Linked DNA regions of Oreochromis niloticus. The protein of the gene in region 1 binds, or shares a complex with, the protein of each later gene. Links are inferred from orthologs where the notes say so. Each region holds a gene or a part of one and is shown on either strand. Other genes may lie near its edges.

Region 1 (8,365 bases):
GATGTTAGTGAAGTCACATCCTTGCAGCCTCAAACGGAGCATTTTGGCCATTGCTGATTGAGGAATGGACAGAGAAATGAGGGACTTCATGCCAACTACACAATTTAGTCCTAAAGCATACCCTAGTTTCTGAACAAGCATCATGTTGTAAGACTTGAAAGTAGTGACTGAGATTATAAACTCATCAGGAAACTGTTTACTAAGATCAAAATGTAAAGCAGCTGTTTGGCTGTCCTCCATACAGTCAGATAAGTCTCCCACTTTGCACTGTTCTTCAAACCTGAAAGCTGCATCTTTCTATGTATGTTCAGCTAATGAAAGCTGTCCAATCTGCTGATGCTGGAGCTGTTAGAATTAAATATCATCAGCATGCTGGTGGGTCATCAGCACTCTCCAAATGAAAATATTTCTCTTTCTGGGAAAACGTGATGAAACTCAGTGATCGCTTAGCTTCTTCTCACCGTCACTGCTCCCCTGCTAAGACAAACAGAAAACAGAAAATGAAATGTCTCCTGTTACAGTAAACAGAGTATCAGTTACTAACAAAGTAAAAACAAGTTGCTGCATTTTATTAATATTACTCACTGTTTGCCAGCTGGAACTCTGAAATACAGGCAGAATAATGAAAAACAAAATGATTAACATGACAGAGTTTAGCAAAGCCAAATTATCAAATAACTCACTAAAAATATCACCAAAACTATCATGTAAGTACATATAACTACAACGTGCATAAATTCGAAATTCATTATTGGAGTAAAATCTGCTGTAATCTCACCATTACTGTTTCTTCTCCAGATGAAGAAACCAAAGACTGCCAGGAGGAGTAAAACTCCTCCAACACCTCCAACAACAGGACCAACAGGAAACACTGAGGGAGAAACTGAAAAGGTCCAAAATGTTGGATCATTCACTCTGCTGCCAAACCAAGCTGCTGTTTCCAGTGTTAATGCATCACTTCTGAACATTGTATGTGGTTAAGAGAAACATTTTCTCATTTTCTTCTTCAACGGTGTGGTTCATGAAATCTGTAGTAGCCAGATCTCAGTTTGTTTGGATCATAAAGAAGAAAAATAGTGTTTGTGTTTAGGATGGTTTGCAATGTAAAAGCAAAAACTGTAAATACTGCTTCAGCCTAATTTAATTATGCATTTTTGGCTTTTTTGTTATCAAACTTCTCCTTAGTGTAAATGTTAGCACCATTATTCTATACATGGTTATAGGATGAGGTTGTACAATATTTGGTGTTTTTTATATCGGTTCTATGATCGGATTTGGCACATTTGAGAAACTTTAGCAGATCAGAGGTCCTTTACTCTTAATTAATGTCTCCATTGTTTCCTCTGACACTGTGCAAAATATTTTTTAATTACATATAGTTAAAATGACATCACAAATGAATTTCTGTTGACTCAAGAATTTCATGCAGACATTTATTTGTTTCAAAGTTTTTTTAAATATGATGGTGTTGTAAACTTTGAGATACAGAACTTCATTCCTGAGCCTGTCTCACCCCAGTTTGTCCGGATCGCTGTTTTGTCCAGTTTGGTGATGATGTCTTCCTTAACGTCAGAGAGCTGAAACACACAGTCGTACCTCCTCCAGTCGTCTGGCTTGATTGATGAAACATTCAACTCAACACTCATCTGGAAGCTCCCGTCATGGTTGGGGAGGATCTCTCCATGCTCCACACCCTCATGAATTTCCTCTTCGTCTCTCCTCCAGAACATCATGGCTCTCTCTGGGTAGAAACCTGTAGCATGGCAGCTGACTAGAGAGGAGGGAGTCCTCTGCAGGAGAGAAACTGAGGGAAGAACTGGGAAAAGATAAAAACAAAATAGGGAGAGAGGCTTTATCTGGGACAGCTGATAATCATGGATGAAATGTTTGTCTATGCACTGGTTCATTTTCCTTGAAATGATAATCTGGAATAGAAAGAGAAAGGGAAGCTTTTGCAACCATATATAATAGCATATGTAATTCTACCTGTTCTCTGCAGAAAGCTCCTCCCATATTTCACATACTTCTTCAGCCAGTCGGGGCACCTGTTGATGTAGTAGTTCTTGTTGTGTTCTAATCGGGGTTTTTCAGTATCCCACTGCAGTTTTGTGACGACAGCCTGTGGTTTAGGAGCAATCCATGTTAGTGTCTGCAGGTCCAATGCTATGAAGTCTTCCCCATCATAACCATACTGATTAAAACCTGTGATTGTATCAGTCTCATCGTCCCATTCACAGCCATTCATCCTCTGAAAAATGTGAACACCTGACAGAGAGAGAGAGAGAATGCAGAGCCAGTAAAGTTGTGGATGGTTAAAGATGATCAGAAAGGTAAATCCTGCTGCAAGTTTTCAATATTTACCATAAAAACAACACAAAGAAATCCTCCTCTTTATTATTCTTGTCCTTGGAAGTAACCATTTACTTCAGCTACTGTTGATGTACATAGTGACAGTGACCTTGTATATGGCAGGGATTTTTCTTGCTATCCCTCTAACACAACAAGTTAAACTAGGCCAATAATTTATTATGGTCACTAGAACAGAGTCAATATCTTACTTGTAATTTTACTTATGTGGTAGACTGATTATTTTAGGTGTGTAAATGAAAACCCCCAAATAAAATGAAATAAAGTATGATGGAAGGATGTAACTCTCACTGTGTGTGTGAATGAAAAGAGCAACATTTAAGGTAAAGGGTGATATTACTGTACCTCCAGTTTGGTTTAAGCGCTTCTTCAGACTATTAATATTGGCTCTGAAGACCTGCTGATTCCCAGAGCACTTCTGCGTGTACCACTCCAAATGCTGAGGATCTTTTTTTATTAACTCCTTCATCCATTCCAGTTTGGGTTCAGCTCTCCTGATGCTGCTGTCACAGTAGCCCACTAAAACCCCATCAACTACAGCCGCACCAACAAATTCTGGGAAGTCTGAGATCCCAGAGGAAGCAGTGATGAAATATTTCAGGGAGTGTTTCACTGTTGAGGAAAACATGTCAGCGATTAGAGCACCAATAGAACAGTGGTTTTATTTATAATGACATTTTACTAATAATTCAGTAGTTATTGTTCTTTGAAAAAGTGTCATTCTCATAAATTTTAAGCTAATTTAATCAAACCAAAGTCAAATCTGTCACAGAAAGCAACAGTTCAAATGAGGACTGTTTTTATAGGACTGGCTGATTCAGGTTAAAATAGCAGTTTGTCGCTTTGTAGGCTACACTGCCCCCCAGTGTTTAAATATGATATAATAACAAATAAATGATGTTGTGCTTGTTAATAGTCTCATTTAAACTCAATAGCAGTATTAGCAGCAGCCGATGCAGCAGAAGGAGTAGTGGTACTATTTGTTGCTGATATAAAACTAATTTAGTTACGTTAATGGGAACTGCGTGTGACTATCTCAACGGGTTGCCAATGTCAGCAGTTCTTCCTCGTGATATAAAACTGCGGATTAAACATCAATAAAATGAACTGAATTAGGAGGAGATGTTTCAGGAATGCATTTATGAGCTATTCTTAACTTCCTCCTACATGTAAAAAAATGGTAATTTAGGGGATCATAAAATTAAAGACGAAAGTAAAACTAAAAGCGCAGCATCAGAGTTCCGTTATACAGGAAGAAAGGACAGTAACGGCTGCTACAGACGTGCTTTACAGGAATAAGAAGGAATCATTTTACCTGCAGATGAAACGTGACAGGAGAGGAGAAAAAGACACAGGCTATTCATCCTGTTTGTATGAATAAGATGGGTCCTATATAGCTAAAATAGACAGCTGATAAGAAATGTGAACAGAGAAGCTGGGGGTGTGAAAGCGTCTCTGACCAATAACGTCACATTTAGGTGCTGGCACAACAGACCGGCCGGCTATATGACCTGTCATAACCTATAGTGCTGAGTGCGAAAGTGAAGCACTGCAAAATAAGCTACTTTTTTTTTGTTAAGGACTGAGCAAACCACATTTGCCTTTTGTTTCAAAAACATGTTAAAAGGTCATATGTCAGAAATGTGTCTTAGTGTAAGTAACTTTTAGGACCTAGAAGACAAAACCATTGTCCTCATAGTTAAAAATCTGGATTTTTAAAAAATGTATTTTTAATGTATCAATTATTTAAAAAAAAAAACATATTGTGATGTATATTGCAGTAATGACTGCTTCATCGAACGATTATTATCACTGGATTCAAAGCAACGTCTACTTCAACAATATGTGCTTTTTTCATAAATATTAACGTTATTTTTGTGATATTGTTCCTCTTTTAAATAAAAGTTATCTGAAAATTCATAAAACATAAATGTGTAGAATCTGTATTATTATTATTATTATTATATTATTATTGTTGTTGTTGTTGTTGTTGTTATTGTTGCTGTTTTGTTATGTCATGATAGACTCTCTCTCTATCATGAAAAAGTGTGATTCCTTCCTTTACATAAATAAACAAAACCGTCAGTTATTCGAGGCAGGATGTTTATATCCTCCCTAGCTCCGGGATCTGGCTGTCGGTATCACATATCTCGCGATAATTTGGTTATCTCCTTTAAATCAGAAGAAATGATATTCTTTTTTTATTTTCAGTTAAAAGTTTTAACATGTGACTATAATGCTTTATAATAAATAAACATGTAATTTAATCTAAGTAGTGAGTAAAAAATTGTCTCAAGAGCACCACAACAGGAGGAGGTAGACTTTGAATGGAACGTGATCCCGCGAGATTTCGGTTAGTTTAGTTGAGTAAACGCCACGTCTTATTCTCAGCCATCAGCAGCATCAACGTAGGCAGAAAGATTGGTAGTTCTGAGCGCAGGATAGACGGTTATCAAGTGGCAGACACTCACTGATATCTGACACTATCTGGTAAGATTTTAATCTTTATTTTTTCTGTTATCAAGTTGCATTCAGACATGTTGCTTCTGCTGCAGCAACATGCTAGCAAGTTAGTTACTAGCTAGCTAGCTAGCTAGCAGACTTTCCTAACAGCTAATTGAAACCTGCGGTCAGTGGTCCTCTTTGAGCGGCTTTTGCTGTTTACTTTGAGATTAAAGTTGATGCTCTCCACAGGGATTATCCACTTTCACCCACCAAACAGTGAGCAAATAAACAATCACAAGAGAAGACAAAGCTAGCTCAATCAAAGTCAGGTTACCTTCACTTCATTGTATCGTCACAGCTAAAGTGATACGGCTGCAGGCACACATCAGCAGATGCTGCTGCCCATACATACACATGCAGCGATCTATTACAGTATTATATCAAAGCAAACCAGCTAAAAGCACAAAAAACAGAAGTTACAACGTGGGTTTTTTTTTTTTTTTTTTTTTTCGATTTGAAGGGCTTAGGTCTGCAGTCACAGCAGTGGACAGTTATAATAGCTTCATGCAAACTCCTGATGAATTAGGATAACTCGCTGTTATCTTGGTCAGTTAACAGGTCAATCGCCTCATTTGGTCCGGATCTGAAACACATGTGACTGGAAATGCGTCCGGAAGCGCACCGGATGACATACGTAGTCATATTTTAATAGAAGTTTAAGCTTATTGAGGTTTATTTGTTGACGTCTCAGATCTTGGAGAATAGCTCTGATCCTGCATTTAATGAAAGTGCTGGTTTCTGCAGTAACTTGTTGCACCTTCTGTACATATGTAGTGTCTAATTTCCTCTTGAAATAGCTCATAAATACAGATGGATATCACACAACCTGTTAGGGCCAAAGATTGATTCTGACTCTTTCTGTTCTACTTGTGATTTTTAAACCCACCATGAGCAGAAAGGGATCGTAAAATGTGGCCAGATGTTTACTGGTTAAATAAAGACAACGTGGAGGACTGTGCTGGCTGAGCTGCAAGTGCAGACAGAGATAGATGAAGGTCATGAGTTGCAGCATTATGTCCAGCACAGAACAAAGAGGATAACTAAGACAGAATCTAATGTCGTATACATGCGTGACTGGGGATTTGTACTTCAACAGGAAATCTACGTCATAACCACAAACCCTTCTGAACCCTATGCTATAACCTACAACATAACCAAACATGCAAACATCGGCTCTATGCAGCCCACAACTATTATAACTGTCCTGTTGAGTACCAAAGATTCCTTCGTGTAAACATGCCCTCTGAGTTAGAGCCATAAACTGTATATAAATGATGAACATAGCCATTATTGCATCACCCATTGGTCTTGGATTCTTCTTGTTAACGTTTCAGTGTTCTGTATTTGACTTCTGCCATGTTAGTGCTTTGGAGCTGGAAGTTACCATATTTGGACCAGAGAGTGGTAGTTATCATTTGATACTAGCTTGGTTACCAAGCTGCATTTTTAAACTGCTTAATATAGATGAGACAAGTAAAGTATTACAATGTCATTGACAAATGTTCAATAAGGCACTAACAACACAAACAGAGTCATGAGGTGCAGTTCAGTGACTCAAAGTGTGGTCCACCCGACACTGATCAGCTGCATTTCCCTGTCTATCAGCAGCCTTAATCTTAAGCCTGAAGAAAATAAAACTGCAGTGTTACAAACAGATTATTAATGATGTGGAAACTATCCACAGAGGGGAATTTTATAGTTAATTTTGCATCAAACCTTTAAAAATGTTCTTAATATCATTTGGTTGGACAGTTTAAACTGAGAGTCTGTTTCTTCACTCTCACTTTGGCTTCAGTTTTCATGCTGCTGGGTTTTTATTTATTAGATGTCTTCTTCTCTTTTCTCTACATCCCAGGGTTTTAATATGGGCTGTGTACGTCTGCTGGCACTGACATTGGCAGCATCTGCAGTACTATTGTTAGCATCTCATTTAGCCACTGCTCACAGCCATTCCCATGGTGACCATGGACACACCCACTCCCACGGCCACCACGGCCACTCCCACGGAGAGGATGATCATCACGGGCACTCCCATGGCTCTCAGGTGAAGATGTTCCACGGAGCAAGCAAGTGGAGCGCTGAAGCCAACCTGCAGGAAGAGGAGCATCACGATCACGGTCACGATCACGGACACGATCACGGACACGATCACGGCCACGGCCACTCTCATGATCACGGACACGATCACGGCCACGGCCACTCTCATGATCACGTACACGATCACGGACACGGCCACTCTCATGATCACGGACACGATCACGGACACGGCCACTCTCACGATCACGGACATGAGGATGCTCATCGTGAGAATGTTGTTCGAGTACATAAGGAGGGAGGTGGACACGGGCACTCACACGGAGGGGAGAGGACGAAGAGGGAGGCGGGGCGCGAGAAGAGGAACACGGTGGAGCTGTGGACACAGGTGAGTGACTGCTTGTTTAGGTTCAGAAATTGGGTTTGAAGACAAATTAATCATTGTGCATAAACTTTTTTTTCTTGCTGATTGTTAGAGACATTGATGCAATGTTCATGTCTCAGAAAAACTATAAAGCATCAAGACAAAAAACGTCTGTCTCATAAGCCTCCAGTAAACCACTTCTTTCAATTGTCAGATTTAAAATTTTTGTGAATAATAACAATAAATGGGTCATAGCCACAGCCTAAGAAAAATTATATTATTATACTCTTATAAGTACTTTTGTTAAGTGCAGTTTTTCAGTAAAAAAAAAAAAACAGCCTGGAAAACTGGTCAAAAACAATATGAAAATACACAGATTATTTAAATAAATTAACAAATGTTCATTTGACCATTTATCATCGCCAGTAATCACATGTACTTAATCAGATTACATTTTGTCTGTAAAGGAGAAATATCTCTTTTTACTGCACTTCAAATTCAGTCATCACAATATGTTTACAAATCAAACAAAATATGTCATTAATTATTTTCTCTAATTATCTACTTGATGCTTGTAAAGAAAAACGTTTGCCATTTTATACACAATTTTGCAGCTGTTGCTAGACTGCAGGCAGGTCTGTCAGAGCGCTCTACACTTTATTGGCATTACTTCAGATGTGTTGCATGAACAGACAAGAATGTGATAATAAAAATCAAACCGCTCCCAGCACGACATCAAAGCTCTTCAAAACAACATGCTAACCTTTGTTATACATTTTTATGCTACTATCACAAAGCTAGTACGTAGATACGCAGTATGAGGCTCAAGCAGTTTAAGTTTTTTTTCACATGAATACAAAACATATGAAATTTAAACTCCCTCCTCCGTCTTTGTCTGCAGGCTGTCGGAGCCACCCTGCTGATCAGTGCAGCTCCCTTCCTCATCCTGTTTCTGATCCCAGTTCAGTCCAACAGCGACCAGCACCAGAATCTGCTCAAAGTGCTGCTGAGCTTCGCGTCTGGTGGATTGCTGGGTGACGCCTTCCTCCACCTCATACCACATGCTCTGGGTGAGTACGAGTTCCATTCTCATTT
Region 2 (8,747 bases), on another chromosome or scaffold:
TCCTAGCTCAACATGCCTGAAACACCTTACCAAGCAAGGAGCCTAGGTCATGGGAAGGCTTGCTGTAGCTGGAGGCTGCTGTAGGTTTGTTACAGGCTTGTTGGAGATGTAGGTTATTGTAGGTGGAGGGCTTGACAAACCTTCTAGTAGGTGATGGACTCCACAGTAAACCGATCCAAGGTAAGGTGATGCATAGGAATCTTTTGAGTCATGCTTAAAGTTTTGCCTTTCATTACATGCGCAAATTAGGTCACACTGGAAAACCACAGATATTCACCCCAAACAGCCGGTAATACAAGGATGAGTAGAACAGATAGCTGGAAACGGGTTAAAGCAACATATTTTCCCAATTTAGCATGAGAACCTACCAACACTTACTTTTCTCCAAGCCCTTTCCTCTCCTGTCTATACAGAAATTCTGATCTGAACGATACAATCCGAGCTGCCCTCAAACAGCATCAGTAATATTGTCCTCCTTTTCCAACTGCTCATCACATCAAGAGAGAATTCATGGTCATGGGAAATCTAGCTGATGGATTTTTTTTCCCCTTAGTTGAAATATTTGACTTATGTGAAAATGGATTTACCTCTTTGAAGACTATAAAGTCCAGTGATGTGGCACAACAGATAAACATCAACGAAGACTAAAAAAATGTCTGGGAAAAATGCTTAGCTTATACAGGTGCATTGTGGTAAGTTAGTAAGTATTTTGTGAAACCTAATAAACAATGGCACCATTATTTGATATCCTTTAATATAAAACAATTATCAAGCTCTAATTGAAGAGGTTGTCTAATTCAACAGGCAAATAAAATGCAATCCCTTCCAAGCAATCAATAAGCCAGTCAGGAATAAGCAAGTGACTTAAACTTGACCCAGCATTTGTTTGTTTTCTTTGATGCAGGAAGCCAGGTCCCTCTGGAGTGTGCAACTAATCTCCAACTCTTCCCGTGCAGCAACATGGTCTCCGTTCACTGATAACATCCCCCTGACCTTTAAGAGGAAGCATCTTTTCAGTGAAGCAATGCCAGGCATTCTGCAAGCTTACGTTATTGGGAGAAAAAGTTGTGTTTTTCTCTCTGAGAAGAACCAGCCGGCAGAGCCACTTCAGAACCAATTTGTTCAAAATCACAGATGTGTGGGTTAGCAAGTGCATTTTGTGTACTAGGGGGACACAAAATGACCATACAATTGATCTCAGGGAAACTTAGAGACAGCCTCCCTGGGTTTCCAAACTTACCACTGAGGCAGATTAAACAGGGTTTTTCACAGTCAAACAGTGTCCAATTAGATTCTGTCTGTATGCAAAACAAAACAGTCTGAGTCCAGAGGAAGCTGTCTTGGATGAAATAGTGCTCTGCCGGCACGATCTCCACATAGTTCAGCTATTCTGCTGCAGACTTCTAGGTGATGATGCAGCAGGGTAGCCTAGCAATAGATGCCAATGCATGTTTTGTACTGACACAAGGTTTAAAACTAGCCAGGCTCCTCTACAGGCAGTAAACAACTGCACAGCCCATCACTAACATGAGCAATGCACAATGTAAACGAGGAAGCCAAAATTGGCATGATAGCCTAAAGTGGATAGAGAGCTTACTTCAGTAGGGTTACACCGTAGGTGATCGTGGATGACCAAAGTGATAAGTGACAAATCCTTGAGTTGCACTACACTGTAAGAGAAATTCTTCAGTCTAATTTTCTCTAGTCTGAAAATGTTGACTTTTCAGACTAGATGTATATGTTGTAGACCTAATTTTCTCTGCAATATTCAGCTCAATAGCAAGCAGACCAAACCTCTATTGTTCACTGGGACAATTTCATTTGACATCCCACTGCAGCAAACGGACAAATGTAATATATACAAAAAATTGAGAACTTTATGAAATCCAAACATCGGCAATAGCATCATATGAACATCACAAGTCCATAACACCTCTTCCACCACCGTGAAGCACAGATGGGTGGAAAAAGCCCTGAAAGTTGGTGATTTATGAAAACAAGGTCCTTGCCTACCAGGGAAATTTACTGGAAAACGCCAATAGCTCGTTCAAAGTTATCGTACATGTTCAGCTATTTGCCTGTAAGTGAAAAAAACAGGATCATGCGACTTGTGGACGCATTTTATTGGGACTGCCGTCTGCTCTCATCGTTCAAATCTAGTTCGCCAAGTTACCAATCTCAACTATCAAGGTGTCCCAGCTACCGTCCTTCCTACTATAATCCTGTCGTATTTCTATTAACCGAGTCCGTCTCTTTTTAGTCTGCTTTAGTCTGTTCACAATGAACAGGTTTAAAGAAGGAAAAAAGGTTCTCACCTGCTGAACTACGGTGCTGTAATAAGATAGCTCACAACCGAGTAAGAAGAGCGCTCAGGGTAGCGCAAGACGGACTTACACCGTCAAGAGACCCGCGAACACTGACACAACTTCTGGTAGAAACTTTCAAAGTAAAGTTGCGCAACAAGTCTTGGATTCTTGCTTGTCAAACTTCCTTTGTTTTTGCTTGTTTTCAATATCAGATGGCACAGAGTTATGTTCGGACCGGAAAATTCAACGTCAGTTTCTGACGCCACTGAGCAATAACCCTTAGATTGTCTGGCTTCCACTTTTATATGATTTTATTGTGAAGGGAAAATTACACAACTCGATCTAGCGTTCTTCTTAGGGTTGGTTAACTTAACGGAGGTAAGTAACCAACCTACTGTATGACCGTCATATTAAAACAAAAGTTGTTTTTTATTAATAATTATTAAAAAATAAATATTAGTACTATTATTACAAAGCAAAGCTCTCGCTATTAAGTAGCCATTTCCCCAATTTATGTACTTTAATTGCTTATTTTAGCCCTAGTTGTTTTTGTGTGTTTGCTTAGGTTTTCTTGACGGATTTAAATTTGACTGTTTGTGTGATGGCAGTGTGAGTTAAATCCTCAGACCACTTTTAGTCAGTATTAAGTAAGTCTTGTTAGAAGCTTATTTCCCTGAGTGGACCCTGCTGGCGTTTCATCGAAGGAGAGAAGAGTGAGAGAGAGCTAGCAGAGCGGTGATGTAGTAGCGACATCTGCTGATGAAACACTGCTACTAACATTACTCCTAGTCAAATTCAAGGCAACGCGATTTTCTGTTACCTCGCGTTTACAGTCTTGTATAGTATAGAAGTCAATTTCGGCCATTAAAAAGAAAAACCAAATCCAGAAATGTTAAAGACCAAAAAAGTTAGTCATGATTTAAAGAAATTGTCACAATTTGACTTGCATGTTAAAATGATCAGCTAAAATAGTCGGCGTTTTTAAAAAGAAAACTATCATTATGAAACCACAAAGGTCAATGGTGAGAGTTTTGAAAAACTGAAAAGAAAATGAAGGCATGACAAATTGTTTAAAATTATGAGGGAAAAATCTAAGTGATGGGACAAAACATGCAGATGGCAAGATAGAATACCAAATTGTGAGATGAAAAGAGGAGCTAGAAAGTTATAAAGGATAAGGTCAAAATAAGACGAGAAAAATTATCACATAAGAAGTCCAAAATTTATTCTTTCCTTCTCATTTTCCAAAGGCATCAAGTGGTCTTCGAACAACAAGTGCAGCCAACCACGCCCACTTTTTATCTGCTCATTATGTCCGGAAATAAATAGCTGTAGCAGGAGGTGTTGAAATTCGTTTACTTCTGCAGGTGCAGGTAAGCCTCATCTCTTCGCGCGCCGTGCAGGTATGTAACACATGCTGAATTTCAAACACTGCTTCCAGGGTCCGTGTATTTCCTGGGCATTCACTGCATATCTGTAGAAATGTCTCCCAGAGAGCCTCTTGGATGCGTTTGTCCATGTCGAGGACATGTCTGCACACCTCCCTTTCTGTTAATTATAGTGTGACACTGTACTATACTTTAATGTTATATAGAATATAATCTTTAATAAAATTAAAATATAATATTTTTTCACAACAAAGAAGGCTTCCACTGCTGCTTCTCTTGGGTTCTAGTTACATTTTTATTTATAACATTTTCATCTAAACCATATAAATGTAAATGAGTGACAGCTTCCAGCAGTTTTCAGCTTTGGAAAGGAGACATTTGAAGATCAAATTCAAAAAGGTTGCTTTTGAGCTTTGTATTTGAAAGCCCTGAGTGAATTCATCTGGGAGAACTTTCACAAAGTCAATATTTGAACTATTCTTAGTGGAGTTTGTTTTTGTGTGCACGGCCTTGTTAGGATTATCATGTGGTATTCCCTTTGGGAAAGAAACAGACTAGAGATGAACACACTCTTTATTTCCAAGGTCAATCACTAGGATCACTATGTGACTCATCTTGCTGGCTGTTCTAACCATGCAAAGTATGAAAAAGTTCTCTTGAGCAGCAAAACAGGACATGGTGCAGTTGTTTCAATTATTTGAAACCTAAAGTAAGGAAAACCAATTCAAACAATGTCTAGACAGTCTTTTACACAGAATTCTCTTAGAAGCTTCTCCCAGTAAAACAAATGAAACTGTAAAGTTAAAGGAAAGCTTCTCACATCTTTGAGCTGCTGCAGACGATTGACAAACTGATGCTAAATGACCTCATTTTTACATCGTTAGCATTTTAGTGGTAATCTGGTGAAGTGTGTTTTCTTGCTTTTAAATGGCAGATGTTTTTTGCACATATTTTATGAATTATGAAATGATGCCTAAGTTGATTCAATCAGTTAAAGGTTTCTCCATGGCTGTCTGTTACCCACAGCAAGACTTCTGTCGTGTATTGAAACTCTAATAGGTTTGAGAAGCCACAAGAGGGAACTTGACTCATTTTAGTTCAGTGGATGAATTGTTGGCATAATGTCAATATGCAACAGCCAACATCATCTCTGTATGCCTGCTGGTAATGGGAATGCAAAGATAGCTAAACTGCAAGATGGGGAGACGCAGTGATTAAAGGGACAAATCAAATTTCTTTGAGAAGCAATTCTTGCCTCTTGATGGCATCTTTTGTAACACCTTCAGGCACTTCAAATTCTCCCATATTGCTTTAAATTATTTCAGTGCCCCATTTCGCTTTTGCAGTCTTGTCTGAAACTGAGGCCTTGCAACATTGCATTGTCTTCATGTTTTGTATAATCAATGCCAACTAAAAAAAGACAGCAATAGCCACTGTTGTTGTGCATTTGGTTTTGATCCAGAAGTAACCATATTTGGACAAAATTGTGTACTATTTAGATGCTTACTAGTTTGGTTGGAAAAATTCACATATTTGCTCATTGGTGCAAGTAACAGACTTTTTTTTTTTTTTTTTTAAATATCTTTAAACCTTGCTAGATTTCTAGAGGAAACATTCCTAGTGTAGAATAGCCTTTATATCAGTCCATAAACATGCTCCTGTTTATGGTTGGAGGGTGACTCTGTCACAAGACTGCAGGATACCAGGAGTCTATGGAAAACTGGCCCTGAGTTCCCTTGCTCTGACCTCTTTAAACATTCCCGTTTGAGATTGGTTGCTACTTTCAGGCTGTTGAATAAAATGAGGTGCATCTTCACATTTCTAGTCCTATAGTGCAGTAACTTATCCAGAGTTTGTTCATTGGTCACTGACCATTTGTTAGCCAGTGAGCATGCTCTTGTTTCTTGGTCAGATCAAACCTTGCATCATGCCTGGTTGCACAATGCCAAGATTACAGCGAACACTCTGCTCAAACCTTAAAAACTGAACTTCACTAACAGGTGATGTCATGTGGCAACCTCAATCTTTAAAATATTCACTTACAATAAGCTGTGGTTTGGGGAGGAAACGACTGGAAAAACTTTTACATATTGCAGGAAATGATTCACGGGCGCTTTAAATAATTGCTGGGTTTTAAATGAGGTGATAGGTCCTGGAAACCGGTTTTTTAGGTCTAATGGACACGCCTAAGCATAGGGTGGCGGTAAAGCGCGCATAAGCGGTTTAAACGCCTCCAATAAAGCCAAAAGAAGACAAAGCATTGCCTTTTTGTTGTCATATTGGGCAGAGACCCTACAGATGGCACTGAATTGAATATAATAAGCTAACAGTGGGATTAAGTACATGGTAACGGGCCTTGTTGAATCCTCTGCTTTCCCCGCAGGTTTGTTTGCCGTCGTGTAACCGGACACATGCCTCTGCGTGTTGCTTTGCAAGTGGCTGCTGTTCGCCTCTTTAACATCATCTAATATTAACCACGGCATTCTGGCCACTTTGCCTCTTCTCTCTCGGTTTGTCATCTCTTCTGCTCAAGACTTTGTTCATTATGTGTCCTCTGCAGCTGAGGACGTTGCTTTTTGTAGGGTGGGTCGTAGGTTACGTCGCCTTTCTGCTCTCAATCAGGAGGATGTGGACCGGGAAGTACATCCGAAATCCGGTTGTCCGCTCCCTCCTGGTGAACATGCTGAGCGACCTGGATACGATAGACGTTACAAAGGTAGGTTACCTGCGAATGGTCCTTGTCGCGACAGCGGGGGTTCTGTAAAGGGTAAAACGACGCTTTGTGAAATACTGGGAAGTTTGAATCAATTGTGCAGGTGTTGGACTAAAAAGTGATCGTTTGCCAAAGTGATTTCCGGTATTTGCACAAAAATTATTGCCCGTATTTAAACTGCTATTGACTTGTTGATCTATAATATGTGAAAAGGATGGCAAACAAGTTTCTCGTGGGTATGAGAGGGTAATTTTGAGCCACGAACTTCATTCCTGTCACAATGTAGACACATGTGCTTTTTTTGGCAAAGTGACGTGTGTGTGGAGAGAGAGAGGTAGAGAGAGATCTATCTATATATATATATATATATATATATATATATATATATATATATATATATATATATATATATATATATATATATATATATATATATATATATATATATATATATATATCTCACACACATACAGGGAGTGCAGAATTATTAGGCAAGTTGTATTTTTGAGGAATAATTTTATTATTGAACAACAACCATGTTCTCAATGAACCCAAAAAACTCATTAATATCAAAGCTGAATGTTTTTGGAAGTAGTTTTTAGTTTTAGCTATTTTAGGGGGATATCTGTGTGCAGGTGACTATTACTGTGCATAATTATTAGGCAACTTAACAAAAACAAATATATACCCATTTCAATTATTTATTTTTACCAGTGAAACCAATATAACACCTCCACATTCACAAATATACATTTCTGACATTCAAAAACAAAACAAAAACAAATCAGCGACCAATATAGCCACCTTTCTTTGCAAGGAGACTCAAAAGCCTGCCATCCATGGATTCTGTCAGTGTTTTGATCTGTTCACCATCAACATTGCGTGCAGCAGCAACCACAGCCTCCCAGACACTGTTCAGAGAGGTGTACTGTTTTCCCTCCTTGTAAATCTCACATTTGATGATGGACCACAGGTTCTCAATGGGGTTCAGATCAGGTGAACAAGGAGGCCATGTCATTAGTTTTTCTTCTTTTATACCCTTTCTTGCCAGCCACGCTGTGGAGTGCTTGGACGCGTGTGATGGAGCATTGCCCTGCATGAAAATCATGTTTTTCTTGAAGGATGCAGACTTCTTCCTGTACCACTGCTTGAAGAAGGTGTCTTCCAGAAACTGGCAGTAGGACTGGGAGTTGAGCTTGACTGCATCCTCAACCCGAAAAGGCCCCACAAGCTCATCTTTGATGATACCAGCCCAAACCAGTACTCCACCTCCACCTTGCTGGCGTCTGAGTCGGACTGGAGCTCTCTGCCCTTTACCAATCCAGCCACGGGCCCATCCATCTGGCCCATCAAGACTCACTCTCATTTCATCAGTCCATAAAACCTTAGAAAAATCAGTCTTGAGATATTTCTTGGCCCAGTCTTGATGTTTCAGTTTGTGTCTTGTTCAGTGGTGGTCGTCTTTCAGCCTTTCTTACCTTGGCCATGTCTCTGAGTATTGCACACCTTGTGCTTTTGGGCACTCCAGTGATGTTGCAGCTCTGAAATATGGCCAAACTGGTGGCAAGTGACATCTTGGCAGCTGCATGCTTGACTTTTCTCAGTTCATGGGCAGTTATTTTGCACCTTGGTTTTTCCACACGCTTCTTGCGACCCTGTTGACTATTTTGAATGAAACGCTTGATTGTTCGATGATCACGCTTCAGAAGCTTTGCAATTTTAAGACTGCTGCATCCCTCTGCAAGATATCTCACTATTTTTGACTTTTCTGAGCCTGTCAAGTCCTTCTTTTGACCCATTTTGCCAAAGGAAAGGAAGTTGCCTAATAATTATGCACACCTGATATAGGGTGTTGATGTCATTAGACCACACCTCTTCTCATTACAGAGATGCACATCACCTAATATGCTTAATTGGTAGTAGGCTTTCGAGCCTATACAGCTTGGAGTAAGACAACATGCATGAAGAGGATGATGTGGACAAAATACTCATTTGCCTAATAATTCTGCACTCCCTGTACATATGTCTGCTTTTGTTTGTTTGTTTGGTTGTTTTTTTTTAAAGGGAGATCTGGCTATTTCAACAAATATAACAGTTTTATAAAAATATGAACTGCATTGATTTAAAATGTAGGTACTCTAACACAGTCATAAATGGTCATTTCTTCATTTTATATACAACTTCTTCATAAATTCTGTTACGCCCAGTATAGGCAAATGTATAACCCTTAAAAATATACATTGAAACATCAGAAATCACTTGGCACAACACCGAGGTTGTATCAGTGGATTCAAAACTGCCTGACACCTGCTGGCCACTTTTTAAGCTCAATTAATGATA

Evidence for each region.
Region 2: the proteins of slc39a7 (region 1) and mettl9 are in contact, whole or in part, in a crystal structure (PDB 8GZE), measured with the Homo sapiens proteins. The link is inferred for Oreochromis niloticus from reciprocal best matches to the Homo sapiens genes SLC39A7 and METTL9. Residues at the interface, in NP_001070984.1 of Homo sapiens: Gly65, His66, Thr67, His68, Glu69; in NP_057109.3 of Homo sapiens: Arg114, Thr115, Asn118, Arg123, Gly124, Met126, Met179, Asn210, Asp213, Arg214, Val241, His245, Tyr247, Glu249, Trp255, Tyr295, Leu296, Cys297, Glu298, Asp300, Tyr306, Val307, Leu308.

Annotation. Positions count from the first base shown.
Region 1 is NC_031985.2:6,813,224-6,821,588, reverse strand, and holds the start of slc39a7 (zinc transporter Slc39a7), read left to right. Parts: upstream 1-4,702; 5' UTR 4,703-4,857; intron 4,858-6,727; 5' UTR 6,728-6,736; coding exon 6,737-7,294; intron 7,295-8,171; coding exon 8,172-8,340; intron 8,341-8,365. Other genes in the region: major histocompatibility complex class I-related gene protein, read right to left, coding at 464-477, 586-603, 779-883, 1,514-1,816, 1,987-2,265, 2,713-2,979, 3,683-3,731. UniProt on the Homo sapiens protein: Transports Zn(2+) from the endoplasmic reticulum (ER)/Golgi apparatus to the cytosol, playing an essential role in the regulation of cytosolic zinc levels.
Region 2 is NC_031973.2:26,775,826-26,784,572, reverse strand, and holds the start of mettl9 (protein-L-histidine N-pros-methyltransferase), read left to right. Parts: upstream 1-5,429; 5' UTR 5,430-6,037; coding exon 6,038-6,077; exon of another isoform or gene 6,078-6,204; intron 6,205-6,227; exon of another isoform or gene 6,228-6,239; coding exon of another isoform or gene 6,240-6,276; coding exon 6,277-6,410; intron 6,411-8,747. UniProt on the Homo sapiens protein: Protein-histidine N-methyltransferase that specifically catalyzes 1-methylhistidine (pros-methylhistidine) methylation of target proteins.